Linked DNA regions of Lepisosteus oculatus. The protein of the gene in region 2 interacts with the protein of the main gene of each other region in a biochemical or structural test. Links are inferred from orthologs where the notes say so. Each region holds a gene or a part of one and is shown on either strand. Other genes may lie near its edges. The genes, in order: supt5h, cdk9, ctdp1 and ccnt2a.

Evidence for each region.
Region 1: of the proteins of cdk9 (region 2) and supt5h, one has a biochemical effect on the other in vitro, tested with the Homo sapiens proteins (4 studies listed by BioGRID, with this or other methods). The link is inferred for Lepisosteus oculatus from reciprocal best matches to the Homo sapiens genes CDK9 and SUPT5H.
Region 3: of the proteins of cdk9 (region 2) and ctdp1, one has a biochemical effect on the other in vitro, tested with the Homo sapiens proteins (3 studies listed by BioGRID). The link is inferred for Lepisosteus oculatus from reciprocal best matches to the Homo sapiens genes CDK9 and CTDP1.
Region 4: the proteins of cdk9 (region 2) and ccnt2a form a complex in vitro, tested with the Homo sapiens proteins (4 studies listed by BioGRID, with this or other methods). The link is inferred for Lepisosteus oculatus from reciprocal best matches to the Homo sapiens genes CDK9 and CCNT2.

Annotation. Positions count from the first base shown.
Region 1 is NC_090698.1:2,281,195-2,288,664, forward strand, and holds the start of supt5h (transcription elongation factor SPT5), read left to right. Parts: upstream 1-4,469; 5' UTR 4,470-4,576; intron 4,577-5,565; 5' UTR 5,566-5,585; coding exon 5,586-5,666; intron 5,667-7,045; coding exon 7,046-7,187; intron 7,188-7,470. UniProt on the Homo sapiens protein: Component of the DRB sensitivity-inducing factor complex (DSIF complex), which regulates mRNA processing and transcription elongation by RNA polymerase II.
Region 2 is NC_090719.1:14,318,197-14,325,101, forward strand, and holds the start of cdk9 (cyclin-dependent kinase 9), read left to right. Parts: upstream 1-3,883; 5' UTR 3,884-3,972; coding exon 3,973-4,013; intron 4,014-4,197; coding exon 4,198-4,311; intron 4,312-5,318; coding exon 5,319-5,400; intron 5,401-5,708; coding exon 5,709-5,799; intron 5,800-6,197; coding exon 6,198-6,364; intron 6,365-6,905. UniProt on the Homo sapiens protein: Protein kinase involved in the regulation of transcription.
Region 3 is NC_090705.1:15,800,151-15,807,174, forward strand, and holds the start of ctdp1 (RNA polymerase II subunit A C-terminal domain phosphatase), read left to right. Parts: upstream 1-4,001; 5' UTR 4,002-4,517; coding exon 4,518-4,822; intron 4,823-7,024. Other genes in the region: adck5 (uncharacterized aarF domain-containing protein kinase 5), read right to left, coding at 1-138, 286-371, 1,850-1,873. UniProt on the Homo sapiens protein: Processively dephosphorylates 'Ser-2' and 'Ser-5' of the heptad repeats YSPTSPS in the C-terminal domain of the largest RNA polymerase II subunit. This promotes the activity of RNA polymerase II.
Region 4 is NC_090707.1:3,431,835-3,439,237, reverse strand, and holds the start of ccnt2a (cyclin-T2a), read left to right. Parts: upstream 1-4,402; 5' UTR 4,403-4,617; intron 4,618-4,900; 5' UTR 4,901-5,053; coding exon 5,054-5,211; intron 5,212-6,200; coding exon 6,201-6,282; intron 6,283-7,038; coding exon 7,039-7,167; intron 7,168-7,403. Other genes in the region: acmsd (2-amino-3-carboxymuconate-6-semialdehyde decarboxylase), read left to right, coding at 160-396, 1,062-1,155, 1,772-1,867, 2,117-2,289, 2,512-2,610, 3,969-4,031. UniProt on the Homo sapiens protein: Regulatory subunit of the cyclin-dependent kinase pair (CDK9/cyclin T) complex, also called positive transcription elongation factor B (P-TEFB), which is proposed to facilitate the transition from abortive to production elongation by phosphorylating the CTD (carboxy-terminal domain) of the large subunit of RNA polymerase II (RNAP II).

The DNA.
Region 1 (7,470 bases), on a different chromosome or scaffold from region 2:
CTTGATGCGACTGCAGTAGATCCTGCGCAGCAGCAACCCATGCTGAGTGATGCCGAGATGGGGGCGTTTGTTTGAGCAGTCTGCCTGGGCGGAGTTGTCATGCCCTCCCTGGGCTCATGAGGGCTTTGGCCAGGAGCTCCAGTTTTATCCCAGGGACGCGGCACTAGTGTCCCATCTGGGGAGATAGTGGTCATGTGCTCAGGCTCATCCCGCTGGGAGAGGCTCTGGCTACCTGCAGAGTTCGCTGGGACAAGCATCACATTCCCCGATTCTCCATGTACAGCCCCTGGCTTGACAACACAATGATCTGGATGTGTTTATTTCCTCCAGGGCCAGAACCTGACGGAAGGGGCTCCTTCAGCCCAGAATTTGAACTTGGTGCTTGGAATTCACAGATCATACTGGCAGCCCCTTCGTGTGACATTGTTGAAATCCTGTATCTGTGGAAAAGCAAGACAAGACCCAAACTTACCCCAGAGGAAAGTTTTTCTGAGCGATGACTCACTGGGCACAGGGCTGCGCTAATGCTAAACATGACAGGGAAATACCTCATAGCAACGAGCCAGCAGATTAATCCCATGTCGGGAAATCAATGTTTTTAAATGCAATAAAATGTTTTAAACATAAAAGCAGTGAGCAAAATGAAGGTTTTTCTTCTTTTTGAATGATTGAACAAATGCCCCCCCCCAAAAAAACAAAAAAGGCAGTTAATCTGTGAGACGATTTAAAGTTGCTTTTGTGTTGAAAGAATCGTGAAGAAAGCCTTTATTTTCAGGAAGTATTCCAGTTTGCTCCCTTCTCTACATATTTCTTTAATTATACAACTATTTTGATTTCTGTGAAGTTGGCACAAAGCCATTTAAATCAAATCGGGAACGCTACAGGATGTCTGAATGCTCAAACCCAAAGCGCAAACAATGTACTTTGTTTTTAAATGTAATGAAATGCTTAATACATAAAAACAGGGAGCAAAATAAAGTTTTTTTTTTGAAGAGCTGTAGCCTAACTTCATCTGACACTGTGCCCCAGCCAGCACATACACAATATCACACATTTTGTGCCACAAAAGGAGCCTTCTGTCTTTACTGGCTCACCACCAGGGTGGGCCTCATTCACAGTGGACAGTGACTCAGCAGGACAGCTGATGTTTTATAGAGCCCTGGAACTGCGCGATTTAACAAATGCCCCATTTAAAGTTGCTTTTGTGTTGAAAGAATCGTGAAGAAAGCCTTTATTTTCAAGAAATATCCCAGTCTGCTCCCTTCTCTAAATATTTCTTTAATTATACAACTATTTTGATTTCTGTGAAGTTGCACAAAGTCATTCAATTCAAATCAGGGACACTACAGGATGCCTGAATGCTCAAACACAAAGGAGATACACTTTTCAAAAACTGCTCAGGCCAGTATAAGCCGACTGTGTCCATAACCTGGATGCCAATGGGCACAGAGCAGGATAGACCTGCCTTGGGACACTAATACATGGCAGGACACACACAGGACATGCAGGGGCCAGATCTCCTTACTGGCCAAAATATTAGGAATGAGAGCATCCTGAGTGACTAAACCAGTAAAGTTTCTAACCTGGGTACTGGTTAAGCTTGATGATCACGGGTTCGAACCTCGGTCACATCACTAGCTAATGACCGGCAGCCATATCACTCTGCAACTCACAGCTGGCAACCCCCTGAAGCCAAGTAGGTCTGAGCCTGGTCAGTACCTGGATGGGAGACCTCCTGGGAAAAACTGAGGTTGCTGCTGGAAGAGGTGTTAGTGGGGCCAGCAGGGGCGCTCATCTTGCGGTCCATGTGGGTCCTAATGCCCCAGTATAGTGATGGGGACACTATAATGTAAACAGGCGCTGTCCTTCAGATGAGACGTAAAACCGAGGTCCTGACTCTCTGTGGTCATTAAAAATCCCAGGGCGTTTCTCGAAAAGAGTAGGGTTGTTACCCCCGGCGTCCTGGCCAAATTTACCATTGGCCCTTACCAATCATGGCCTCCTAATAATCCCCATCTCTGAACTGGCTTCATCACTCTGCTCTCCTCCCCACTGAGAGCTGGTGTGTGGGGAGCGTTCTGGCGCACTATGGCTGCCGTCGCATCATCCAGGTGGGGCTGCACACTGGTGGTGGTGGAGGGGATCCCCATTACCTGTAAAGCACATTGAGTGGTGTCCAAAAGGCACTATATAATTGTTAGCAGTTGTTATTATTAGTTAGTCATGCTGACTCTGTTCCCAGCAACGGGGACCCCTGTGGCCTCCTGCATGCTTGCAGGCTGATGTAGCTGCTGTTCAGGGGAGCGCCTCTCCTCCAGTCAGCGTTTGACTTGCACTCTGGAGCGAGTGATCGTGCTGTGGAGGCCCCAGAGTGTTGTAAACCCTTCAGGTAGTACCCCTGGCAGTAGTTTCAGGGCTTGTATTCTCTCCAGCTGCAGTGAGTGAAGCTGAAGGTTTTCTGTAGCCCTGGTTCCTGGAGTGGGGTCTCTTCCCCCCACAGCTCTGGTCCTCTGTTACAGCACTGAGTCGCCTCAAAGGTGTAAAAAGACGAGCAGGTGGGTGTGGTTGGGGTCTGCAGTTCCTCACTGTCCTGTCAGTGCAGTCCTGCGGCCCAGTCCCCTCCCATTCTGTCAGCAAGAGTGGGACTGGAGTGTGTCCCTAGAGTGGGACTGGAGCGTGTATTCTGCACACTGCTGGATCTCCAGTTTCTCTGTGGGGCTGAGATCAGGGTTATTCCAGGAAGGTGATGAAAGCCTGATGCAGCACGAAAATAACCTGCCTGCCAGATAAGGAAAGGTTCACTCAAGGGTCCCAGCAAAACTTCTGCTTTTCTTTTCTTGGCTGAGCACTGAGGAAAGAAATCTGCTCCAGGCTCTTCATGCTTGGCTGGCAGGAGGAGCGACACAGAAAAAAACTTTGAAAAACAAAGAAAACAAGCACCGGGATCTGGAACAATTGGAGGTGTGTGTGAGTGCTGGTGCTGAGCCAGTGCTCGGGATGTGATTTTCAGTCCCAAGTGAAGGAAGTACAGAAAGGGGCTGAGACAGAGGGAAACTCTGTTGCAGCAAGTGGAGATGATAAGATCACTTTATTGGCCATTGACAATTTCTTGCATTAGGAATCTGTCTTTTCACATACCCCAGCCTGCTCTCCATGAGGTGGCACACAGACAGGGAGAGAAGCTGGGGGTCAGAGCGCAGGGTCAGCCATTTATACGGCACCCCTGGAGCAGCTGGGGTTAAGGACCTTGCTCAGGGGGTCCAAAGGAGTAGGATTCCTCTTTAACCTTAATCCTTAACCCTAATTCCAGGGGTGCAGGATTTGAACCAGCAATCTTCCAGCCACAGGCGCAGGTCCTTAGCCACAGTGCCACCACTCCGCCCCAAATGGCGATGGTGATGATGATGATCCTGATGAAGACTGTGCTGGTCCAGGGCTGCTGGCTTACTCTGCAGATTGGGAGGCATCTGAGCAGTAAGAGCATAATGTAATGATCCTAAGTTTCCCCCTTTATCCCACACTTGGTATTATTACACACACTTTAATTGTTGATGTGAGGGGAAAAAAAAGTGGTGATGAAAGAGCCCTAGATGTCAAGAGTGGGTTCCTCCTGATTTATTTTCTGCTTGACGTTGACATTAACAGGCTGCCCTTTTTTGCTTGTGGGGTTGAAGTAAACCAGGAAAAACAGAGGCTGAATGAAAAGCCGTGACGAAGCACAATACACCTTTCACACTAAATGGACAGAAAGGCCTTGCTGGGAGAGACCGACTGCTGCGGCCGGTAATCAACAGACCAGTGGCAACAAGCCACGCCTGCGAGCAAACCGCTGTGTCATCGCCAGACTTTGGTCGAGCCTGCGGAGTCCCGAAAGAATGGAAAGTTCAGTACAAGCTAAAAACCGAACATGAACTGGAATGAACTGGAGTTCAGTGCACTGCACGTGACAAGCATACTCTCCAGAATATCTGTGCAATGCCACACGGTTTCTCTTATCAGTGCAGCCTCCCGAGCCTCTGAAGGTGTTTTCTGCTAGCACAAGCAGAGAGACCTCCACTGCTGCACTCACGCCCATAGAAGGAAAGACAGACAGACCCACACATCCATAGGAACCAATACTCTGTCTTTTCCTGCACACTTGATTATATAGCTACCTTTAATTAGAGGGTCCCCAGAATTACAACTGCATAACATTTACTCATTTGAGTTTCTATTGTTTTTATACAATGCAGCCAGTTACTCTTATCCACAATCAAATGAAAAATCCCAAGTGAAAGCACATTAAATAAAGATGAATATGCAAAGGCGAAAAAGAGAACGGGGAAGTACTTTAAATGTCGCAATCTACATACCAAGGCAAAAAAAAATCAAATATACTTGATGTACATACAGCTTCCGCTACCAAGATGGCGCTCAGAGCCAGTTGACCTTTCTAATATGGCGTCTTGGTGAGGACAGGAGCATGTCTTTCAGTGTGTTCTCGCGATAGTTCCTTTCAGTCTGTGCTGGAGTGGTGATGTGTGTTTATTAACTCAACGATTTTTTACATATTTCTCAGTTTGCGGTAATTTTTAAGGTAAGTGCTCTTTCGCTGCAATTTAGGCGTCAGATGCCTGTATTAATACCATGATTCGTGCGACTAAGTACGTATGTATTTCTTAGAAAGAGGGTTAGGCTTAGGCTTAATTTCAGGGCCTAGCTGTGAGTTTTCTATAAGATTCGTGCCTGTTATCAATCTCAAGGTGTTTAACCTCATAAAATATTCTTACGTGTTGCATTAATGAAATGAAAAAACGATTAAACTTGGTGTGTCAAGATAGATTTTCGCGTACTTAATATAATTGTTTACGTATTTGTGCATGGCCGGTACTACTGTATTTTATATTAATATAGCTTCCGTTAATAAATTCCGTATATCGCTCATGTCGCATACCGTTTTTCTGTTTTAGATGTCTGGTAGCGCGTAGCTTAATTAAAAAAAGTGGAGCACGAATAAAAACAAGAATGAATTGGAATGATGGAGAGAGTTAGAAGTCGTAGCTAAGTCGGTTTGTTTTTGCCTTGAGAGCTTCTCTCTTCATGCGGAGTCACAAGTATCCGCTGCCTAAACAAGCTGAGCTCCTGATTCTGCAGGGTTGTGTGGTCTTTGACGTGTATTTCGACTTATTTCGAATATTGACGTCATTGCTGAATTTGCTGGCGTTTCCAGCGGGGAAAGTTTAAAATCCAACACTCAAAGATCCCACAGTTCTGTCAATTTAGTACTTCAACGTCAACACAGTTGACACTGGTCCAGCGCAGCCCAGATTAAAAAAGACCACACAGCAGAAGCAACAAAACGCATATTACCCTTACACACAGTATTCAATCACTACAAGATCTGCATATTGAGGTGCCTACTGCCGCTTGAACTGGAGAAAAGGCAGTTGTTCCAAGGCTCTAGAGCTGGAGTTGTGCTAGTCAGGATGATGCCTGGGTGAGGACGCACAGCGAGCAGGTTCAGCCTTCAGCCTCGGTGTTTACAAACTGGTGGTCCTACAGCTCCTTCTCCCTGTTTCCCACTAGCCGGGGGTTGTGCTGAAAGGATGTCGGACAGCGAGGACAGCGACTTCTCGGACAACCAGAGCGAGCGCAGCAGCGAGGCGGAGGAGCTGGAGGAGAATGAGGTAACGGTGGGCGCCCTCCCCTGAACCCCTGATCGATGCACAGTCTCCGTTTAGGCCCGGTGTTCTTTTACCCTGCGCTCACTGGACAGCGAGACTGGACAGGGCGGTCAGAAGAAGCTGCTCTGTCCGGAGAGCTGTGCCACTGCAGGGGTCACTGAACTGAGGTCTTTTTCGCGGTCAAAGAAGACGGGGAGTCGTGTGTTCGACGATGTGTGGCGGTTGTGTCCTTTTCTTCCCTACCTGTGCCAAGTTTCTTTGGAGTGTGCGGATATTATTTTTTGAAGTTTAGCGATCACCCCAGTTGTCCCATTAAGTGGTGGTGAAGGGGCTGCAGAAGATTGGCTTCTAGCTGGAATCTGCACGGCCTGTCCCATGTCCTGCCTCTGCTCACAGATTGTTCTGCTGCCACTAAGACAGCTACCTGACCACCATTTCTTTCCCTTCATCCTCAGTATGTGGTCTGTGACACTAACTCCTGCCGTTTAATACTTTTCAAAAGTTCATCCATTTCAGTGCAAAAACAGCCAAGTGTGATTTATTATTGATAAAGAAACACTTTATATTATATAGCGCCTTGAACGGTGGCCTATCAAAACACTTAGTGACACTTAGCGCCTCGTGCACTGGGATTCCTATGCATACTGATGGCTTTAAAAGAAAAAGAGCTGTCTGTTTTTAAGCACAGTGTGTTATAACTGCTTAACACAGTGTTGTACCCTGAAAGTTTTCAGATTTCCCTGCTATCAACGACTGTGCTCTCTGACTAGCTTTTCCTTCCTGCTTCTCTGCTCTGTGCTTGGGCGCAGCTGGGGTACAGGGATGTCGGTTTGCTGGGAGGCCCCGTCTTGGCTGGCAATTAAACGTTAGCAGTTGGCTCAGACCTGCAGTTATCCTGGGTCCTTCAGCTCCAAACTTGTTTTCGTCTTGGCAACAAGAGCGCAGAGGTTAAATCAGGTTGTTAATTCAAGTTAGGGCATAACCTGGCGCTTCACTGTTAATACACCCAGAAAGGAAAGGTGTTTGTGTAGGTCTTGGGGAGGGAACAGTGACTCTGGTGCAGCTCGTCCTGCCGGGGTTTGAATCCTGTGCTGGTGGCAGGCCCAGTACAAGGTGCCGATCGCCCCGCCTTCGGGCCTCCAAGCACAGAGCAGAGTGGGGATTGTGCCCGCAGCTCCGAATCAAAGCGCAATTCCAGTCTTGGAAGCTGTCGAAAGGCAAGACGGAGGGTTTATTTGTGTGCTCTGGACCGCTGTGCCGGAAGGCAGGGGTTTGGGTCGGGCCCTCCCTGGAGAGCGGTTCTGGTCCGGTTCTGCAAAGCGGGAGGGGTGACTTGTTTGTTGCTGGGTGTGTGACGGCCCGCTATCGTCCTGCAATGGCAGGAGGAAGAGGCCCAGGCCAGCGACAAGGGAGAGGAGGAGATAGAGGAGGATGAGGAAGAGTACGATGAGGAGGAAGAGGAGGATGATGACGACCGGCCCAGGAAGAAGCCACGTCACGGGGGCTTCATCTTGGACGAGGCCGGTAAGATACCTGTGTTCCTCTCTCTCCCTCGGCACTGGGGGTGTCTCTGTGCCACTGGTTCATTGAGAAAACCATTTGAAAATATTTTTTTATGGTAATTCTGGAGCAGATAAAAGAAGGGATTCAATCCTCTGCCCAAATTCAATGTAATCACCTTCTTTTCTGTCTTGTTACCTTCTGCTCACCTGTGAAATTGTGTGGTGCCCCCCTCATTCTGGGGTACAGGACAGTGAGGTGTGCTAGTCCTGTAAGTGTCAATTCTGCTTCTGAACCAGCATTCAGT
Region 2 (6,905 bases):
TTGAACTCCCTGAGATGTATTTTTCCCACTTGGGAGCTTTGTGATTTTCTCTGCTCCATGTCTAATGTTTGTTCAGTTGGCCCTGTACTATACTCATGACTTCTGCTACAATAATGGATAAAAAGTGCAGTGTTGTTCATCTCAGCAAATCACAAAATGCTTTACACGTGGAGGCATGAGAAAGCACTTCCCCAAATGAATACAGGGGAACTTCAGGAAGGCCAGACTGTACAAGACTTTAGTGCAATTTAGCCAGGGCACCAGGGTTAACACCCAAACTCTTTCGAAAAGTACCATATGACCACTTATTTAGGACTAGTTTTAACATCTCATGTGAAGTATGGAACCTACTAGTGTACAGTGTCTCCAGTCAGCTCAGTGTGAAACTGGTTTAGAAACTGTGGTCCTGAGGAGAGAGTGCCTCCTAGTGGTTCACCCGAGTAACGATCTGTGAAAGCGCTCCTGGGCTGTGAAGGCAGCAATACCGAACATATATTGAATTGATCTTACCCGCAAAAGATGTAAAGGGGTCTCAAGAGAACTTAAGATTGGTTGCAAGAACACCAGCATACGCCACACACACGGACAGTGCACCGGCAGCTCTAGAAATAGTCTAGACTTGCATCCACTGCAGAATATGACTACAGTAAAGATGCTGCCACAAAGTGTGGGAATCTCTGGGCACTCTGTGGAGCTGCGAGCATTTTCATGACCCGAACGCCAGTTTCGATGACAGAAGGCCAGCCTAGTGAAAGATATTATAAGCCAAAGTCTATAGTGCTCCTAATGGAAGCTCCACTCTGGGGTTAGCACTAGCGTGTGGAATCATTTTCAAGGACAGACTTTTTCCTTGCACTCCGATGCTTTGCCCGCAGCATTACAGAGGCCACACGACGCGATTCTCCTCTTCTCGCCTCTCACCGGGCAGAACCACTCTCTCATCCGGACAAACAGAAAAGCGAAACGCCGCACAGGACTCTACGAGAGAGCGCACGGTCCTGCCCAGTCTTTCACCATTCGCACAGGTGGAGAAGAGAGCCGCCTCGCACGATTCACAGGTTGGAACGTGCGGAGGAGACGCCCGCAAGTGAACGGCACACAGGTGGAAGATGTGCATGAACCTTCCCTATTAACAGTGGTTAATGTTCCCCTCGGGCACTGGGTGTTGGAAATTGCTCAGTCTTGGTGTCATGTGGGTGAGCTGAAGACGGGGTCCCACAGTTGCAGACGCCAGTTAGCACCTTCAAGCCTTTTGTTTTTCCCTTGTGCGCTGATCACAGTCTGCAAAGGACCTTGAAGTCTTTTGGGTGTTACAACATTCTCTGACACATATAGCAAATAAATGAGATTAGCCCACATCGAGAGCCTTAGATGTGGGACAGACAATAGACACAGTGGGCAGGCCCTTTGGGCACTTGTCCTAACAGGATAGCTGGATCAGTGAGGATTTACTGTTCAGAGGGGAGGAAGATCAGACACCTAATCATCTTAGTGACAAATGACAGAGAGGAAAAATAAACAGAATATATTGTTAAAAGGGCAAAACTCTCTTCTTAGTTTAAATTCCAGAGTAGACTGTGATTGTAATCTGATTAGATATCCTGCTGGCTCTTGGGCAGGAATGCAGATACCTTCTCAGTCAAGGATTTCTTTCTTAAAGGAAATTGAGAAAGGTAGCACGAAAACAACAAGCTAAATCTGCTTAACAGTTTGACTGGTGAATCTCATTAGTGTAAACTGTGGGGGGATGAACACATTTCTCTATAAGGATAACATCCCACCAAATCCACATGTGCAGAGGTTATTGAGCACTTATCACCCGCCGTGCCGAAGCCCGGCTACTCAATACGAAAGTGCAGCAAAAGAGTGTGAATTGGGATTTTCACAAACTGGAAAACAAAGTGAGCAGTACTGTAATTCTAAATGGAGACCAACGCTGAAATCATTCTGCTACAGGATCTACCGCTATACAACAGATTACAAATTGGTATTGTCATAATGCTCTTATTTCTTCAACCTTCTGATTTAATGCCATTTATTTAACTGTCAATTATTTCCTGGAGCAATATAAAGCAGTGCGAAAGCTCATGATCTCCAGTGTCACAAAGTATAGGTGGACTTGTGCTCAGTTGTAGAAATTCAGAGGCTAAAAACTGGAGGAAAACAGGTTCCCCGGACAAGGCTCGTTAAAATGCAAATACAACTGCGACTGTACCAGGGGGTGAAGGGAGGGTTCACACCTCCAAAGGCCCAATCAAACTCTTGACGCTTCTCATGGTCTCTTCACGCAACACGGAATTTACCCTGTGAATGATTTGGAGTTATCGTATTTTAAACAAATCTGTTACTAGGTATTTTAAAAATAAGTTCAATGCATGATATTCCAACACACAATACAAAATAGCCTGTTGACTATGAGACAGGATGTAATCATACCCATACTATTTTAAATTACTTGAATTCACCTTTAATTAATTTTATTTAATTAACTCCCTGAGGCTAATTTGCCCTTTCAGGACCTTTGTGTTTCTCTCTGCTCCAATTCTATGGCTGTCCAGTTGAGTCTGTACTATAATATTCACCATGACATGGACTATAATAATGAATATGTCCTTGAGTTTTATAGCACCGTTCATCTCAAAAGATCACAAAACGCTTTACATGTACGGTAAAAATGGGGGAACCGACGTATATGTAGAATATTTTCTTTAGAAAAAGTAGAAAATAACTTTAAAAATCATACATGCATAGGGTCTGTTTTTCCACTCTGATCGTCTTGTCAGTTCCTGCAGGAGGAAGTCAGAAGCTGAGCACGGCTGGTCTTGCTCAGTACTGGGATGAGATTTCATGGCGTAAAAGTTCAGCAGTGTCAAACTTCCACCAGTAGACGGCGACCTTCCCTCTGAACCACTAATTCCGAACCAGTGCCTCGATTAGTGATCGTGTGCTCATGGAGTTCTGGAAAAAACAACAGTTCGTCTAATGTTCAACGTCGTTCTCATGTTGGAAAACGTTTAAATACAGAGTTCGTAAAAGTTCTATGTGCTTCAAAGACAAATTCTTTAAAATCTATTTAAAAACACCCTTGGATAACTGGTTTACAGAAATTTCCTAGCATATAAATTTATGTAATGTGACCCCCTAACTTAATCTTCAAATCGATGTGGTTTGTTCTGCTTCGTTCATTTGACGTTGTCTTTGTGCTGTCGTGTTGCAGCACGTGTGAGTATATGTACATGCTTGCATTTCCATTTTTTTTTTGTATACAAAACGTAAAATGTAAATAAAAAATAGTGCTCATGTATATAATGCTTCATGTAACAGCGCCGTCCTTCGGTCAAGAACTTAAACTGAGGTCCGGACCCCTTGGTCATGAAAGATCCCATTGGGTTTCCTAGCGGGAACAGATTTCAAGGGATATACTGAATGGAACAGGACACTGTAACTTATTTATTTTGCACTAAAAGCCACTACATGCCACGGCACTGTTCATCACAGTAGAGAAGCTCACCACGGTGTCCGGGCTAAGCTCTGTTTTGGTTTTGCACAACCTGGCCTCCTTTAATTTTCCCTGCTGCGTGTCGTACCTGAATAAGGAGGGTATTAAAAAATTGTTAACGTTTACTTTTTACTTTAATAAGATATGGACGATAAATTGACTGCGCCGGTCTGGCTGTAAATGAGTAATTACTCATAAAGGATCTGCGTAACCGGTTCCTCGGTTGATGGACAGCTCCAGCGCCCACTCACAGTTCAGCTTTCCGGTTTTCAGCACTTCCAATCCGTGTAGTCATACGGCACCGATTCACCAATCAGAAGGCGATAGACCCGCCCGCGGGTTGAGCCCGGGGCCCCGTGCTATGGCAACCAACCGGAAGTGTGCGGGGAAACGGCTGCCGTAAACGCGTTCTGCGGAGGACTGCGGCGCACAGTCTCTACAGGGCAGCGGAAAGGCGTACTGCAGCTCTCGGGATGCAGCGTGACAGAGCAGGGACTTCGGGTGGTGGTGACAAGTAAGGACGTTGTTGTTTTTTTTTTTGGCGAAGATCAAACGCTTTCTTAAGATTTTCCGTCGGAGGTGAAATTCGGTTGATTCCCGGGTAGGATCACGCAGATCTGAGGCCTGAAGGAGGGTTACCTCTCGCTAGCGTGTGGGTGATGGCTGAGCTCCGTGTCTCCCTTGTCTCTCTCTCTCAGGGCCGAGCGGGAGACAGCGATGATGTCGAAGTATTATGATGGTGTCGAGTTCCCTTTCTGCGATGAGTTTTCCAAGTATGAGAAGCTCGCCAAGATCGGGCAGGGAACCTTTGGGTAAGTTTATTTTGCTCGCACGTCGTTCAACGTTTCCGTTTCCGCCAAAGTATTGTTTCGACCCACATGTGCGGCATATTGTCAAAACATCTTTTTTTCACCTCGGAAATCTCGCTCGACTACGCCCTGTGCCGTCACTAACTGTGGCTGAAAAGCTGATCAACACGTTTGTGTTCGCTCGAATTGACTACTGTAATGCTCTACTCGCTGGGGTGTCTAAATATACTTTGAACAAACTGCAGTGTGTCCAAAATTCAAAATATCAGAGAGTCACCTTCTCTAAACTCCGTCAAATCCAGACTCAAAACCTTCTTCTTCAGAAAAGCCTTTACTTAACTGTTCCATTCTTCACCCCTCTGCTTTTCTTAGTTCCAGCATCCACGGTCTCCTCTACATATTGTAATTGTGTTTTATCATGTGTATTCTTCTTATTTATTGTTGTTGTCATTCTGTAAAGCGCTTTGAGAAGCCACCTTTAAAGGTGCTATATAAAATAAAGTTGTTATTATTATTATTATTTTGATGTGCTCGGGTGTGTAGCAGTCCAGTTGCCATCTAACGCACGATCAACAATAACGATGGGATATTTTTCTTGGATTTGTCCAAGCTTATTTTGAAAGCCCCATATGTGTAAAAACTCACAGTTAAATACATTCTGATTCCATATTGTAATGCAGTAAAATGTAAGAAAGTCCAGGGGAGGTGAGTACGTTTGATAGCAACTGCAGCTGAATAGAAAAATTCCACTCCACACACACGATATGGGGAACATGTTCTGATTTGGTAAAATAATAAACAAATAGTATGGCTGTGGAGCCTTCTTTGGATGTAAGAAAGATAGTAATGTCTCCTATATGAAGTCATTTTATTTTATATTGTATTTTTATTGAAACATTACTGTAGTCAGTGTGTAATCCGAAATCTTAAAATCGGTTGGATTTCCTGGTGTTGGAGACTTGAAGTGCATTTTGTTGGTTTTTGATGCAGGTTTTGTGTTGTGTCCCCAGGGAGGTCTTTAAAGCTAAGCACAGGCAGACTGGCAAGAAGGTAGCCTTGAAGAAGGTTCTAATGGAAAATGAGAAAGAAGGGGTAAGAATCGTTTTTTCCTTTTTCGCCGTCACTGAGTAGATTGTGCTGACGAGACAAAAAAGCTCAAAGAGAGAGGCAGATGGAAAAACCAGCGTGTACTCTTCATTCCTGTCTTTTAATTCGATGCTGTCATTCCACTGTTTTGGTCATCCTTGCTTCTGTATTACGATACTGTAAAAATACGCAACTTTATAAACTGAACATAGTGAACAAATCTCCCTGGCTCCCATTTTTAAGCAGCATTTTCTATTCATTTAATCTTGAAAAGTGGAAATGCAGGTAGCACTCACTGTCACGTTCTTCTTCAGTTTCCCATTACAGCCCTGAGAGAGATTAAGATCCTCCAGCTGTTAAAACACGAGAATGTAGTGAATTTGATTGAGATCTGCAGAACAAAAGGTAAGTCCTCAGAAACTCATCAAGTTGTTTTTTTTCTGTGTACTTTTTTATAGGGCACGAGCAAATACGTAAATTGGTTTATTAAATCTTTATTAAAGAGTAGAAAACAAAAGTGAACACTTTTCAGTTGTTAAAAGGATGTAAAGCTGTTAAGAACACCCGAAACGTTGTTTTCTTTTGACATTTTGCATGAAAATAACCCTTACGTGTTACCTCATACGTAGCATAACCTAAAATAGTTTGATTATTGATATATAGATGTCGTAGTAAACAAACAGAATTGGCTATGTAAATTGTATTCTTATAGAAATACTGAATATCTAAGAATATAAGTATTTTTTAATTAATGTGCTTATTCAATAAAAAGAAAATTAAAGTGTTTTTTTTTTTAATTCCAGCCACCCAGTACAATCGATACAAAGGCAGCATCTACCTGGTGTTTGACTTCTGTGAACATGACTTGGCTGGGTTACTCAGTAATGCCAACGTCAAGTTTACTTTGGCCGAAATCAAAAAAGTCATGCAGATGTTGCTAAATGGTTTATATTACATTCACCGAAATAAGGTAAGAACTGTTTTTTGTTTTGTTTTTAAATCATTTCCTTTCTAAACCTTTATTAAATAGTTATGGACTTCTGTGAAATGTTTTGTTTTTACATTAACACTTACAAAACATTGAATCGTTTCCCTCTTGGTTATGCAACAGACACTTTGCGTTCAGAATTCAAAACCTTGCATGCTAAAGGGTTTATGTGTTTGTTTCTGTTGTTTTCAATGTTTTAGCTTTCTTAGTGCTGTGATTGCCTTTAGACAGTTGTGGTGGAATATGAAACTTTCTAAGAATCCCAGATCTTGTTTGTAAACCGTTTCACCCTGTATTATCAGGGAATTTGTAGCGACACAAGATTACTTAAGGACAATAAAACTTGAAGCTGGTATGCTGTTCTTGCTAGCTCTCCAACCTCAATTCCACTTGATAGGAGAGTGAAACACATGCTGAGAGATGACTAGGACTGATAGTGATACACTGATTCAGTTGTAAGACAGAATGCCCAGAGTATGTGCTACTGTGCTACTGTGAGTATGAACACAGTCAGTTGTCACCA
Region 3 (7,024 bases), on a different chromosome or scaffold from region 2:
CCCAGCCCTTCAAACAAGATTCTCATCCTGCGTCTCTCCCGCGGCCCTGACAGGGCGTACTGCACTCCCAAGACCAGCGGCACGCCTGCCGCAGCGCCCACTAGCACCTTCTTCAGAAAACCCCTTCTCCTCATCGGCCTGGGGAGACACATCAGCCGTTACCATCTACCGCTCCAGTTCTGAAGTTTCTGTCCAGGTGCCGTTTCCGAGGACGCCTGTTGCTAGGACAGTACACACAATCCACTCTCCTCCAGAAACATCTTGCCAGCAGACGGTATACATCACCTTGCAGACCAGGAGCTCAGATGGGCCAGTGGGGCAGAGCCTGGGTTGTGGTGCAACAGTGCCCAGTGGCGCTGACACAGCCGCAACTGCAGGACACAAAAACATAGAGCCACTTAATCCAGAGCCAGACGTCTTTCTGTGTGCTGGAACACCAGACCAAACTGTTTTTTTTAAAAAAAAAACCAAAACAATTCACAAAGCACAACAATACACATTACACCAGAGCGAGCAATATCTTAACACTGCCAACAATATAGGGGTGTTTTTTTAGAGAAATTCTTGCTCTCAGAGATCCTTTTCAATTCAACCTGATGAAAATATCCTGGACCAATTCCCTATGATCAAAAGCCCTTGAGGACAGTTAAGGTTTCCGAGTTTTAAACTTTGCAAATCCCATTATGCAGAGCACCACACCCATAAATGGGCACAGTAATCAGATGATGAAGGGCTTTCTTTTTCATGCAAACAGGGTGAAATGTTTTTAGAAGCGGCACGGTAGAGAGCAACTGCTAAATCAAGGCTGCTGGTGTCCATTCAGAGGCACAGTTGTTTTTATTAGCAGTTTAAGAGAACATCTTGTTACAAACCAGATGATTTAAAGATAGCGCTTCAGTGTCAGGGACCTGACCCGAGACAGTGGGATCTGTCTCATTCTGAAAGAGCCGATATGAAGGGGAGAAACTGGGAGAAAGCTGAAAGTGTAAGCGAAAGGAAGGACAGCCCTTTTTTCTCCTTGTCTCTTCACTGACATTCACCCTTGTAAGAGTTTCGACACAAGGCAGCTTGTAACTTGCCCTAAGCCATGTATTGAAGCTGGAGGGGACAGATAAGGTTCTATTAGCTTCAAGTCAGCAAGCAAAAAAGACCGACGATCGTTTATTCCACACCTTATGTTATTAAAAAAGATTCCCGGGGATTGTTCCTTTCTAAAGGCTGGTAATAATAACTAACGCGACCAGTGCTGTTTCCGCATTAACAGTTAAATGGGTGAACAGCAGAGCAATAAGACATGCGGTAACACTACAATGATGGTAAAAACAGTAACCAATTTGACGTATTAACGTGGTTGGAATATTGTATTCTACATATACATTAATTTATGGTACATCAGAAATATTAAAGGGGAAGACAGTTAATTCTTAATTACCCTTTCGTCTGCTACAGACTGATGCATTTGGCATGATCAATACAGCGTGCAACTGTGAACTGGGAGCTTTGCGAATAATTGTTCTTGCTGTCATTACACCAGCACTATCAAAGACTAACCTCACTTGAAGACTGCGTCTTCCAACTGACACCCATTATCCCTTTTTAATATTCATAAAACTGCACCGAAAAAAAATACTACCCGTTCTGTCTCGGTACCAGCGAAATCTCACACGCATAAAAGCACGACACTAGAATTTAGAATATTTTGCAAAGTGAACTTGTCACGAGAAAGCCGTCATTTGGCACTACTACGGACTGCATTTCTTTTCTTGCCCGTTGAAAAAGTTGTCAACCACTTTCAAAAATGCAACTCGCTAAACCCTTGAAGTGATCTTTACTGTGTTCATTCGCTTACCGCTCTGAAAGTATCTCCGGCCATGTCGCTAAGGAGAACAATGTGTAAAACCAGTCTATGCCCGGACAGTATATGGAAACGCAGGCTGTGATTGCCAGTCGCCCTTTGCCTATAGTTAACGAGCAAGGACTCTGACGCCTCCCCTCGCTATTGCCAGGCTCGCCTTACACACGCACTGGGGTCATGTGACACGTGGGGTGACTGACTAGCGTGAAGCTAGCGTCGTTAAGCGACGCTAGCTTGGCAGCACCTTTCAAAATAAAAGCGTGACTCCGGAGCTGGCAGCTGATTTACGCGTCACGTCACGTGGACGGGATAAGACTTCCTGCTCTCCTTCCCGGTTGGGGTTTTTAAATTTGTGAAGGTGCCACAAAATAAACGAGGGAGGAGGTCCATACACCTTTTAGAATACCGCTGCCTGTATTTATAGTGTAATCTTTATCAGCTATAGATTTGTGATTACCGTTCCTCCCTGGCCTTATTTATTAAGGGTAGCGTTTTTGTAATAGGTAGAAACTTGGTGCAGAAAAGGACAGCGCACTGAGGTGGTTTTAATCTACAGTTTATTTCGAATCAGAATATGACAAACTGCTGCTCTCAGGTGGGATGGATTGGTTTTGGGTTCTAAAAATGAGGCCATACTGGGCCAAAAAGAGACTTTATAACTGTCAGTGAAGTACTTTAAAATGAACCCATTTTATTTGGAAAAAAACATATAATTAATTTTTTAAAAATCAGTTTACTAAGAAGTAAATGTGCCAGCAAGAGCCCTTACAGATGTCATGTTTCATGACGTCAAAGCTCGCGTTAAAATGTGTAAAGCTTGGGCTAAGGGTTAGAGAACATGCAAACTGTTTCTGCTTGTTTACATTACATGTTAGGGTGGTGCTGTGGCTCTGTGGCTAAGGATCTGCACCTCTGGCTGGAAGGTTACCGGTTTGTATCCCATGGCTGGCAGAGAAATCCTACGCCTTTGGGCCACTGAGCAAGTCCCTTAATCACAACTGCTCCAGGGGCACTGTATAAATGGCTGACCCTGCACTCTGACCACAAGCTTCTCTCCCTGTCTATGTGTCCCATGGAGAGCAAGTTGGAGTATGTGAAAAGACAAATTCCTAATACAATAAATTGTATATGGCCAATAGAGTGATCTTATCTGCCAAATGTTTTCCCAGACTTTTCTATATAAATCTTTCTGCATTTCCTTTATGGTTTCTATAGTAACTGCTTATCCTCCTATTTTATTAGCATCATATGTATACTTGACTCATTTATTCTCTATAACAGGCCAGAATACAGGTCATTCTGTAACAGTAGGAGGAGCCTCAAACACCCCATCATAGGCGTCTTAAGTCATTGTCTCCTAGCAACAGATGTGTCGACTCACAGACATTCACAAATTTCAGAATGATTACTGTCAATAAGACATTGAGAACCTTTATTCTTTCTTTATAATGCAATACTTTTGAAGACCAAAATATTTCATTTCAACAAACAGGTAAACTAACTGAATGTAATGAATATGTTTAAGCTTCACGGCCGTCATCAACATTTGTTCTAACAAATAAGGATGCTTACATAGATAAGTGTAACAGCTCATCGTTTTTTCATTATTACCAGTAGGTTAAAATATGAATTAATTTAAGACCAGGAACAATATACATTACATAAAGCAAGACACTAACAAAGAATACTGTATTATGCTCTTTTTTAAGAGGCAAACTGTCACCAAGGGGCTTAGCATCAAATTCAACTGTCAAATTGGGCAGTATGTCAACATTTCACGATGATTAATACGACTAATACCGTTTTAAAAGACAGGGTAACTTTGTATAGCAAAAAGTGGTAAAATAATTTTAACTCCAGTAACCGCGAAGTTGTTTTTTCTCTCAGAAACTATGGATGATATCTGAATTACTGAATTACTGTCCAATTCCAGGACCAAGATTTAAACAGGTGCCAGGCCGTGAGCATACACCTTGTCCTCCCGCAGCAAGCCCGGTCCTACCGCCGCCTACCTCAGCACCTGGAGCACCAGGGGATTCAGTATCACGCTGTTACATCACCTTGCATCATAATTACAGTTTTGTTGCCAAAGCTTACTCCAAGTCCTGAAAAGTAAACGAAATTACACAGCAATTGTGGATTATGTTTGGCACACTATTATACCTATTTAATGCCCCCAAAACCTAGCACTATTCTTAATATTTCGACGCACGTCCACTAGCAGGATAAAAAAAAATATCTGTACAGCTGTAAAAAAAAGACCTACTCTGTACCAAATCGCTATCCCATTTAAAAACGTCATACTGAACTGGGCGAAAATATAAGGTGCTTAATGATAGTGCCTTCCCGGCTTCGCGGAGCCGGAGCTGCTGTGAGGCGCTTCCCCCTGCCTCCTCCTCCACGGCGGCGGCGTCGTCTCCCGGAAGCGGTGCGGCAACCTGCTGCCTCTCGGAGGCTTGTGTTTCCTGTTGACGAGCGGGAAGAGCGAACCTGAACGCTTTGGTTTCATCTGCTGCTGCTCTCTGGTTTCCACTTTTCGCTTTCCGATTGCTGTCTCTTTAAAAGTGCAGAGAGCCGCCTGCAGTTCCGATTCGATCTGCAGCGGTTCAGGGCGCATCGCCTTCTCGGCTAAAGTTTGGAGGGATCTGGGGGTGCGACACGGATGGAGGACCCGGCAGACTCCGGCGGTGGTACCGCAGCTCTTGCGGGCCCCTCTAAGCAGGTGACGGAGATCCGCTGCCCGGCGGGGGCCCGTCCCCTGCGGCTGCTGGAGTGGAAGGTAAAGCCGGGATCGTATGTGAATATCGACTCCGTCCTGGCGCTGTGCGCCCCGCTCCCGGTGGAGAGGGAGGCCGGAGCAGAGCCCCAGGGGCCGCCGACTCGGTCGACGGAGAAGAAGGTGAAATCGGACCGGGCCGGCGTGGTCAGAGAGCTCTGCTGTCAGCTCGGACAGGTCGTTTCTCCGGGGTAAGTGGTCAGTTGTGGGCTGGGGGGACATGAGGGGGATTGCGGGTAGAAAGCGGCGCTCAGTAGTCATGCTTTGCAGAAAATGAGTGTTCGTGCTCGTGTTGATGTATCGAGGCGCTGCAGGGGTTTAACTAACTGTCCGAAACGGGCAGAACTTTGTAGGAACACACTTGCAAATTGATGTAGTCCGGAGAAAAGTTGCTTAAAGAGAAAGCGGGGTGATCATCAGATCACGCAACTGCGCGGCTTGTTCTCCTGTACGAGTGTGGATGAAGTGTACGGGGAGTGTTGAGTTAACTGAAAACTTATAACTTCGTGGTCCAAGATTGAAAATAAGAAAAGCTCAAGTTGTCTGGAGCCGCGTCTTGCGTTTCGAAGACAAACCCCTTAACATCTTAGTGCGTGAGACGTAGTTAAAGTTAGTGCAGACGGTCTTACAATTGTCTTTTTTATCTAGATGGCGCGTTTTAAATGCCCAGGGAAAGCGCACAGCGCAGTGTTTTCGCCAGGCCTACTGCACAAGACGTGTGTAGCTGCTTGTTGTACGAAAAGGGGGTGTGTTTGTACGCGTGCTCTTAAGGGGTAATGGCACCGTTTATGTTTTTTCCAGCCCAGATTGCCACTCGTGCCGAGTTTTGGAGTGCAACAACGCTTGGGTCTTCCCGAATTGCCACCGACGAGCATTTTGTTTTGCAGAGGACGAGTCGCAATAGCAGCGTCTGTGGAAACTGCTCACGGGGTGGGGGGCAGGGCCGCGTGCTGGAGCTGTCAGCGTCACGTGACTTAGTATTCTGTCAACATTGCCGCGTCGAGCTAAAGCACAGCCGGGCGGTTTATCATTCACTTAGTTCTTCTGTCAAACTCTGCTGTTACTGTCCTAATCTTAGGTGCTGTTCAGATTGAGATTGTAATGGTTCATTGACGTGCTGTTTTCCAGTGAGTGGTCCCAAACCCTGGTCCTGGGTGCTCCCTGTCTCTCCTGCTTTCATCCCAATTGAGCTGATCTGCTTGTTCTTTTAGACTTGTGTTTACATATTTATGTATTACGTTCTTAGTTACTTAATACACCTGTTGGATACTCAGCATACAGAACAAAGCCCTTAAGAGTTCGTGCCTTTTTTTCTGTCTGAATAGTTCTTCATATGTGATCGATGTTTGATGCACAGACAGTTGGGAGTGACACTGAATGTTTTTTTTTTCTTGTCTGCTGAGGTCCACTTGCTTACATTCCAGTAGCTGTATTGCCCTGCAACTCACTGGAGCTCAGCAGGTCTGAGCCTGGCCGGTACCTGGATGGGAGACCTCCTGGGAAAGCTAAGGTTACTGCTGGAAGACGTGTCAGTGGGGTCAGTAGGGGACACTCACCCTGCAGTCTGTGGGGCTCTTATTGCCCCAGTATAGTAAAAAAAAAAAGGTGCTGTACTTCAGATGAGACATAAAGCCAAGGTCCTGACTGTGGTCATTACAATCCCAGGGTATTTCTTAAAAAGAGTAGGGTTGTTTAACTGGGGTGTCCTGGCCAAATTTCCCATTGGCCTTTACCAGTCATGACCTCCTAATAATCCCCATCTTTGACTCTGTTCTCCTCCCCACTAATAGCTGGTGTGTGGTGAGCATACTGCCTTACTCTGGCTGCCATTGCATCTGAGTCCCCATTACCTGTAAAGAACTTTGAGTGGAGTCCAGAAAAGCTCTATATAAGTAAGCAGTTATTATTCCAGTCCACACAGCTGAATGGGGGTGATATCTGAACCTTAGAAATTGGTAGAGGTTTTAGTACAGTTGGTACAGTGTTTTGAGACATGAAAGTTTACCTCAACTAGAAGATTGATCAGTCTGTGATTAAGAAGTCAGATGGAATAAACTAAACACTGGATTATTCACTAGAGATGGTCAGTAAGCAAATGTAGCAGGGAACGTATAGGTTAGGGAGGGGTGTTATGAAGTTAAATTCAAAGTCTGTAAATGATAATGCTAATATCATGAGAACGGTTATAAATAAGAGGTCATCCTGTCCGTTTGGTAATTAGTATCGGCTTCAACAACATGATGGGGCAGCTGATTCCACACTCCCTCCACTCTTTGTGTAAAGAAGTGCCTCCAGTTCTCGGGTTTAAATGTATTTACACATAGTTTCCACTTCTGTCCTCTGGGTCGTGCTGCTCTGTTGATTCAGAAGCCATCCACTGCATTGACCTGGTC
Region 4 (7,403 bases), on a different chromosome or scaffold from region 2:
AACTCACCTGGTCAATCTCTCTCAAAGCACAATGAGTAATACATTCTGAATACAAACCAGATCACATTTACACACTAATACACCAGTTCGGTATTCTAGCTGAGGAATTCGGCACGTGGATCGCCTGAGCTCTTCTCGTTTCTCGTGATGTGTCATCAGGCCAAGCCTCACGACGCCCTGGATCTCTGCCACATTCTGAACGACGACCTGGCGGCCACAGTGCGCCAGCGCCCGCGGCGGTTCGTGGGCCTGGGGACTTTGCCCATGCAGGCCCCGGACCTGGCCGTGCAGGAGCTGCGGCGCTGTGTGCTGGAGCTGGGGTTCCCCGGCGTGCAGCTGGGCTCCCACGTCAACTGCTGGGACCTGAGCGCGCCCGAGCTTGGCCCAGTCTATGCAGTAAGGGCCGCACCGCCGCCCGAGACTGAACATCTGAACAGCGTCTCCAACCTTCACAATTGAAATGCCCTGAAACTGAAAAGCAATGCCTTGTACAATGATAATCAAGTCCTTCTACACAGCGCCTTCCAGCCCAAAGCATCACAAAACACTTTGCCTGTTGCGCAGGCCCCACCTGTGAGACGCACAGCAGCCCAGCCACAAAGCCAGTCAGGGGAGGAGAGAAACCGCTGCACCAAGAGAACTAGGGGAGCTAGAGAGAGGCTAGTGCATGCCCAGAGTGGAAACCAGCCAGGACACCAACGTTAACAGCCCTACACTTACTTTTATTACACTTTCATTATGGTATATTTTACATACTGTAGGTCTGAGCACATCTTCGTGGGCAAAACAAACGTGCATGTCAGTAGCCTTCTGTCTGGGAAGCGTGGCAGGATACTGGTTCGAACAGCTGCTTGGCAGTTAGCTCCTGGGACCTGGGCTCGGTTCTGAACTGGAGTGCCTGTCTGTGTGGAGTTTGCATGTGTTTGACTGGCTACCCTGAGAGTTAATGAAAAGGGATGGTCTTCCTATCCCATTGCCCAGACATGAATGGAGAGGTCTGGCTGCAGCCCTCCTGCTGGTCCCTGACCTCGGGATCTGTGGTTTCATTGTTCTTTGTGCAGGCTGCTGAAGAGCTGAACTGCTCCTTATTCATTCATCCCTGGGACATGCAAACTGATGGAAGGATGTCTAAATACTGGCTCCCCTGGCTGGTGGGTTAGTATGATGTGTTTAATGTATGTTCAGCTTGCTGGTGTGAAACAGCACTGATATTGCACCATCAGCGTCTTTTAGCACTTAGACTATAGAGTGTTTAAACACCTTCCACTATTCTGTGTTGGAAGTATATCTCTGCAGTGGTTATCTGCACCAGAAGCCAGTTCGGCTGATACTGCTAGAAGATGACAGAATGGTTGTGAACCAGAGGAGGCCAAGCTGGCCCTTCTAGCTCATCTGGTTTATTGTAGCGAATTGATTTAAGGATCTCATCCAGCTGTTTCCTGAAAGAGGAGGGGCTATCGGCTTCAACATAATGGCTGAGCAGCATACTCCCACAACCCTTTGGGTAAAGAAGAGCTTCCTGTTCTCAGTTTTAAATTGACTTTCTCATAGTTTCCACTTGTGTCCTCTGGTTTGTGTCTCACGTGTTCAATCTGGAGAAGTCTACACAGCTGACTTTGAGGACTGTATGTACTGGTCTCCTCACACACTTCTCTGTTCAAGACTAAAAATACCCAGTGTCTTTGGCCGTTTAGAGGAAGACATGCCTTTAAACTTAGTATTGTTTTGGTTACTTACCTCTGGATTGATTCCAGATGTTTTTTACCTTCAGGAATGCCAGCAGAGACCACAACAGCTATCTGCTCCATGATCTTTGGGGGCGTATTTGAGAAATTTCCCAAGCTTAAAGTCTGTTTTGCTCATGGAGGTAATGTTACCCTTACGCAAATATACTTTGAGAACAAATATACTGTGAGAAAGAAGCAGAGCCATTGTAACAGAATGGTGCACACACAAAGCAGTCTGTGTAATCTAAAGTATGTAATAATACTATCTGTTATTTAGCAGATACTATATGTTTAAAAAGCATACAAATACAACATGTCTGTAGAAAATGCTGTCTGACATAATTTCATACTGAAGAGATTAAATATAAACAGGATATTTCAAAATTTAGGAGGATCCTTCCCCTACACAATTGGACGAATTGAGCACGGATTTAAAGTTCGTCCAGATCTGTGTGCCGTAGATAACAACATCAATCCCAGGAAATATCTTGGCTCGTTTTATACGGATTCCCTTGTCCATGACCCTCAGGCACTGAAGCTTCTTCTTGAAGTGGTTGGAAAGGTAGGAGGGTTTTACTTTCCAGACACAGAGCACAGCACTGTGAAAAGTATAAACTGTAATATATATATATAGCAGTACATCAATGCAACCTAAAAGATAACCAAGTTTAAGTATTGCACACACTACAAGTGATCTGTTTTTCTGGCCTGTTTGTTAGCAATGATAAATGTCAGCACTGTAGCTAGGAAACGGTTTTATAAAAATTCTTCTTCTTTGTTGAAGGATAAGGTCATGCTTGGTACAGACTACCCATTTCCCCTGGGAGAACTTGAGCCAGGATCTCTGATAGAATCAATGAGTGAATTTGACTGCGTGTTAAAGGTGAATTCAGTTTAAAATGTAACTGATTTTGTTCCTCAGCTTCTTGGAATATTATCTTTAATGTCATGACTTTCCCCAGAGTAAACCACAGCCCGCCATGATCTATCTTCTTGCCTGAAAAAAAGGGTTTTCTTTCCTGTAAAAGCTACACAAATCCTTAAACCATGCAAAAATTCCAGCTCAAGCCCACCACAGCCATGACTCTTATGCTGTATAGACTGTAACCCTAGCTCAATCCTAAAACAAACTCTTACCATCCAGAGCCAATCTTAAACTTAACTTTCATCACATCCTAATCTGAAAACCTGCCTTAATATGATCTACACACCTTACCTGTGTTCTAAACTCACCCAAAGCTTTATAAATCTCATCTGGTTCCCCACTGAATCCCACAAACAACTACACAAAGTAAATCAAAAATGGACTCCCTGACAAAAGCACACAGGAACAAGTAAAGGATTATTCCATGCAGAAAAGAAAAGTTCCTTTGCAAGTTCCTTGTTCCTTTGCAGCCTACCTGTATGCATGCTGACACAGCTCCCTACTTGAACTACTTCAAAAGCACACAGGTCCAAAAGGCACAGGGCAGACATAAAGATACGTTTCCAATGACTGTTTGATTATCTCTTGCATCTATTCCTTATAAAACAATGCTTAATGATCTGTAATGTTTAGTCTTTTCATGTTTTCTTTATAAAGTCATCATTTGTTTTAAAAAATAATTATCTTACTTTAATAAATGAAGCTTACATATCTCCAATATTCATTCTTTTCATGTTTTCTTTACTGAGACAATTTGTTTTAAAATATCATTGACTGTTAATTAATTCTTAGTCTTTCAATAATAAACTAGGCTTGTTTTATGTCTTTTATACAATGTATCATTTGTTTTAAAAATAATTAATGCTAGATGTCTGCATATTTTAATTGATAGATGCTGCTCAAGGATGTGTAATTGTTTTAGAATGTGTTTTTGTCAGGTTACTTCAATAATGTTTCTACAACTGAAGTAGCTTATCCCCTCTCGTATTAGTCTAGCTGTGTGGGGTCTTCAGGACAAAAGGCGTTAAATATACAGAACACAGCGAAGGGGTCTCCAGCAGGGGTGTCCAGTCCTGTTCCTGGGAGGCTGGTGAATCGGCTGGTTTTTGGTCCAGGCCAGCTCTTAGCGAGACAAGCTGGTTCTGGGCTTAACAGGAACCATTTCACAGCGTCTCCCAGCTCTGCAGGTGGTGTTGCTTTAAAGAGACCTAGCAAGCCTGCAGACACACCAGCCCCAAAGGACCAGCACCGGACCCCTACTCTATTTTTGTTTAACAATTTGCTTACTTTGCGTCTGTGTGCTTTCTGTATTTCAGGATAAACTTTTAGCAGAGAACGCTCTGGAGTTTTTGGGCCTTCATAGAAGCCAGTTTGAGTGATCCCAAAGACACCTGATTATTACATGATGAGATTACAACCTAAATTTCTAATCACCAGAGTGATTCATACTGAAGATCTATAGAACTGTATGGAAATTAATTTAATTAACTGTATTTCTCTATCTGATAGCTGTTAAACGGCACATAATAAAAAATAACATTTTGGTTCTACTAGAAGACATCTCTTCTCTTCCAACTGATGTACTTGTACCACACGAATAAGCAATTAATGTGAAAAAAAAACACTGTAGGTTTTTCATACAAAAATAAATCTTCCACAATGCACTGCCCGCTTTTCTTCAACGGTTTTTTTTTTATCCGTTCTTGTGTGTTTTGTGTAGTTCTCCTTTCATCCACTTGAGGGAGGTGACGAATAATGTACTGTACTTTAAAAACGACAACACTTTCCTTGTTGCAGCCTCATGTGCGTGCGCTGGTGTTGTATGTACTTGAATCGTCGATATCTGAGAACAGAAGAGATTTGTTTTGTCATTTACAATTTGTTAGTCCGAAATTTTAAGCATAGACTCTTCTACAAAAGCAGTATTAATCGTATCTGTATTGGAACTGTTACAGCACTCCAAAGGTAAGAAGTTATTGCTCCAGTTTTGACTTACAAACGGGTGTGAAGTTAAAAATATTTCCAATTAAACGTTGCCATTATGTATTAGGTACTGAAGCGATTGCGTTTCTCTAGTTACACTAGTTCTCTAGAGAAAAAAAAACAATACAAATGTGCAGACTTATACAAGTGGAAGTGCAGTTCTTCCTTATATTAGGCTACTATTTTTATTTTACGTTAAATATCTCTTCGCATTCGGTATTAAATAAACCGATTTGTTGAAAGGAGACTCCGTGCTTCTTTTTAGACAATCTAGCGAAAAACACAGCAGTCGTTTGAGGTCCTTGACTACATTTCCCATGAGCCCACGGGCGCGGGGGAGCGTTTCCGGCGCGGGTGACGCAGTAAGTTCCGCGCTGGGCGGCGTGCCGCTCCTCTGTTCCTGTGTGATGCTGGAGCGATGGCGGCGTGCCGGGGCTCCACTTCGAGATGGTTTTTCACCCGGGAGCAGCTGGAAGCCACGCCGTCCCGCCGCTGTGGAGTCGAGCCGGACAAGGAGCTGTCCTACCGACAACAAGCGGCTAACCTTATTCAAGATATGGGCCAGAGACTCAACGTGTATCCTTTTCTTGTGCACGTCTGAGCTGCATCAGACCCGCCGACGAGGGGCCTGTAGGCTTCGGCAGAGATGGCGCTCTTGTAGGCCCCTCTTTTCCTCTGTGGTGGGTGGTGGGTGGTGGGTGGCTGGGTGGGGGCTGCGGCCCGGCTTTTAAAGGGCTAAAACTTCGCCGTTACGCGTCTGGGGGATGGCGATGTGCGTGTTCGCGGGTTTGCTGATCACCCTGCGGCTCAGGGGTTGCGGGGTTTCCGAGCCGCTGTGCTGAAACCGGTCCGGTCTCGGCTCCGCTGCTGCCCGGCCTGGGGCTGGCTGATAACCCCGCGCCGGGGCCCACGCACGTCAGCCTCGGTTGTCCGCCGTGGACGAGTCCGGAGTCGCGTTTCTGCGCGGCGGGGGGCTGATCGCCCTGCGGGCCGGGCGGTGTGCAGGGGACAGCGGCGCGGCGCCGGGCTGAAGGAGCTTGATCTCTGTCGCGCTCGTTCAGCCCCGAGCTGCCGCTGCAGGCCGGCCCTTGTTTGCATTGCAGCCTTGTTTCGGGGGCACCGGGAGGGAAATGAAACGAGTTAACGTTAGCAGCGTCGAGTGGGAACCTTATTAGTAATCCCTGACGCGCGATAACCTTCCCAATTCGTGTTTGATGGCGTTTTGTTTTTGGGGAGGGGGGCAGGGCCGTGCTGATGAGGTTTACCGTTGTCCCAGGCCGTGTTCCCCCACGCCAATAATGGAGTATCAGTGGCTGCGACGGTGCGATTTGCTCTTACCTCTTTTCTGTCGTGTTATTTTGGGGGAAGGGGGCTCTTTTGGTTGATGTTTTTTTTATGGCTTTGTTAGTGACTCGAAGGGATCAAGAGCAAGTGACGAGGGTCAATCGATAACCAAAGCAAAATCGCGTCCTCCTGAAAAAGGAGACGGAGGATACCGTGTTTAGTGTCTTTAACGATGAAGAGCCTTACCTCGACTGACCGTTCTCCTTAACCGCAGTGTCCAGCTCCCAGCTGACGATAAACACTGCAATCGTTTACATGCATAGGTTTTATATGTACCATTCTTTCACGAAGTTCCACAGAAATGTAAGTATTTTCGAGTTTCTCTACTGTCTTCTGCAATTAATTAAATCTGTGAATTGTTCGACGTAGAAGTACGATATCCTGTGGCAGAAACATGCCAGATGTAGTTCAGCGGTTGGTGTGGCTTTCCCCGTTTGACCTTAAGGGTCTTTGATACGGGAGTCTTCAGCAAAGGCATGACCTGCCCTTGTTTTTATTCTGGTACCTTGAGTGGACAGTAAGACTAACGGGCCTGATGAATAATGGTAAAGACAAGTAGTTCCGCATAGTCTGCAAAGGAACAAGTAAAGGGTTTATTCCATGCTGAAGAGAGAAACCACAACGTTTCGGCTGTGAAGCCTTCTTCAGGTGTGAAGAAGGCTGAAGAAGACTTCACAGTCGAAACGTTGTGGTTTCTCTCTTCTCTCTTCAGCAGAGGTTTATTCCATTATTTGTTCCATAGTAGAGTAGCCTTCATTCAGGATGGGGGAAAATGCCACTTAACATAACTGGTATCCAGCCCCCCCTCACTGGAGCCGAGGAGGAGAGGCAGATGGTCTCCACAATAGAAAGGTCTTCTTCTCCAGCCCAGCTGGCTCTTATCAGCCATGTTCTTTTGTACGAGACCGGTAGAGATTCTTCTGTCCCGGGTGGGGGGGAATTAGGCTGATTTAGTTAAAAGTTGTGATGACAGTAACGATTCAAAGGACCCTCCCCCTCTCCCCGGAGTGTGTTAATTGGCTGGCCTCTCGTCAGTGTGGCTGCTGTTGTGTGTTGCAGATCACTTCTCCAACGACGTTATTCTTGGCTGCCAAAGTTGAGGAGCAGCCGCGTAAACTTGAACATGTCATCAAAGTAGCACATGCCTGCTTAAATCCTCAAGAGGCACAGCTCGATATAAAGAGTGATGTAAGTATGACCACGCCTCTGCCTTTTTCATGCACCCCTGCGGCACTGTTAACAGACTGATCGCAGAATGTTTCGATGTTGTTAGGTGCTGTCCTTGGGGTTTCTCCCTGGTTTAAGGCTACTTCAGTGAAAACTGCTTTTAGGAAGTCTCATTTGGTTTACATTGTTTTCCTGGGCATTGTCTGATTCTATTGATTTTCCTTTTGAACTGCTAAAAACTGTTGCAGCATAAAGTG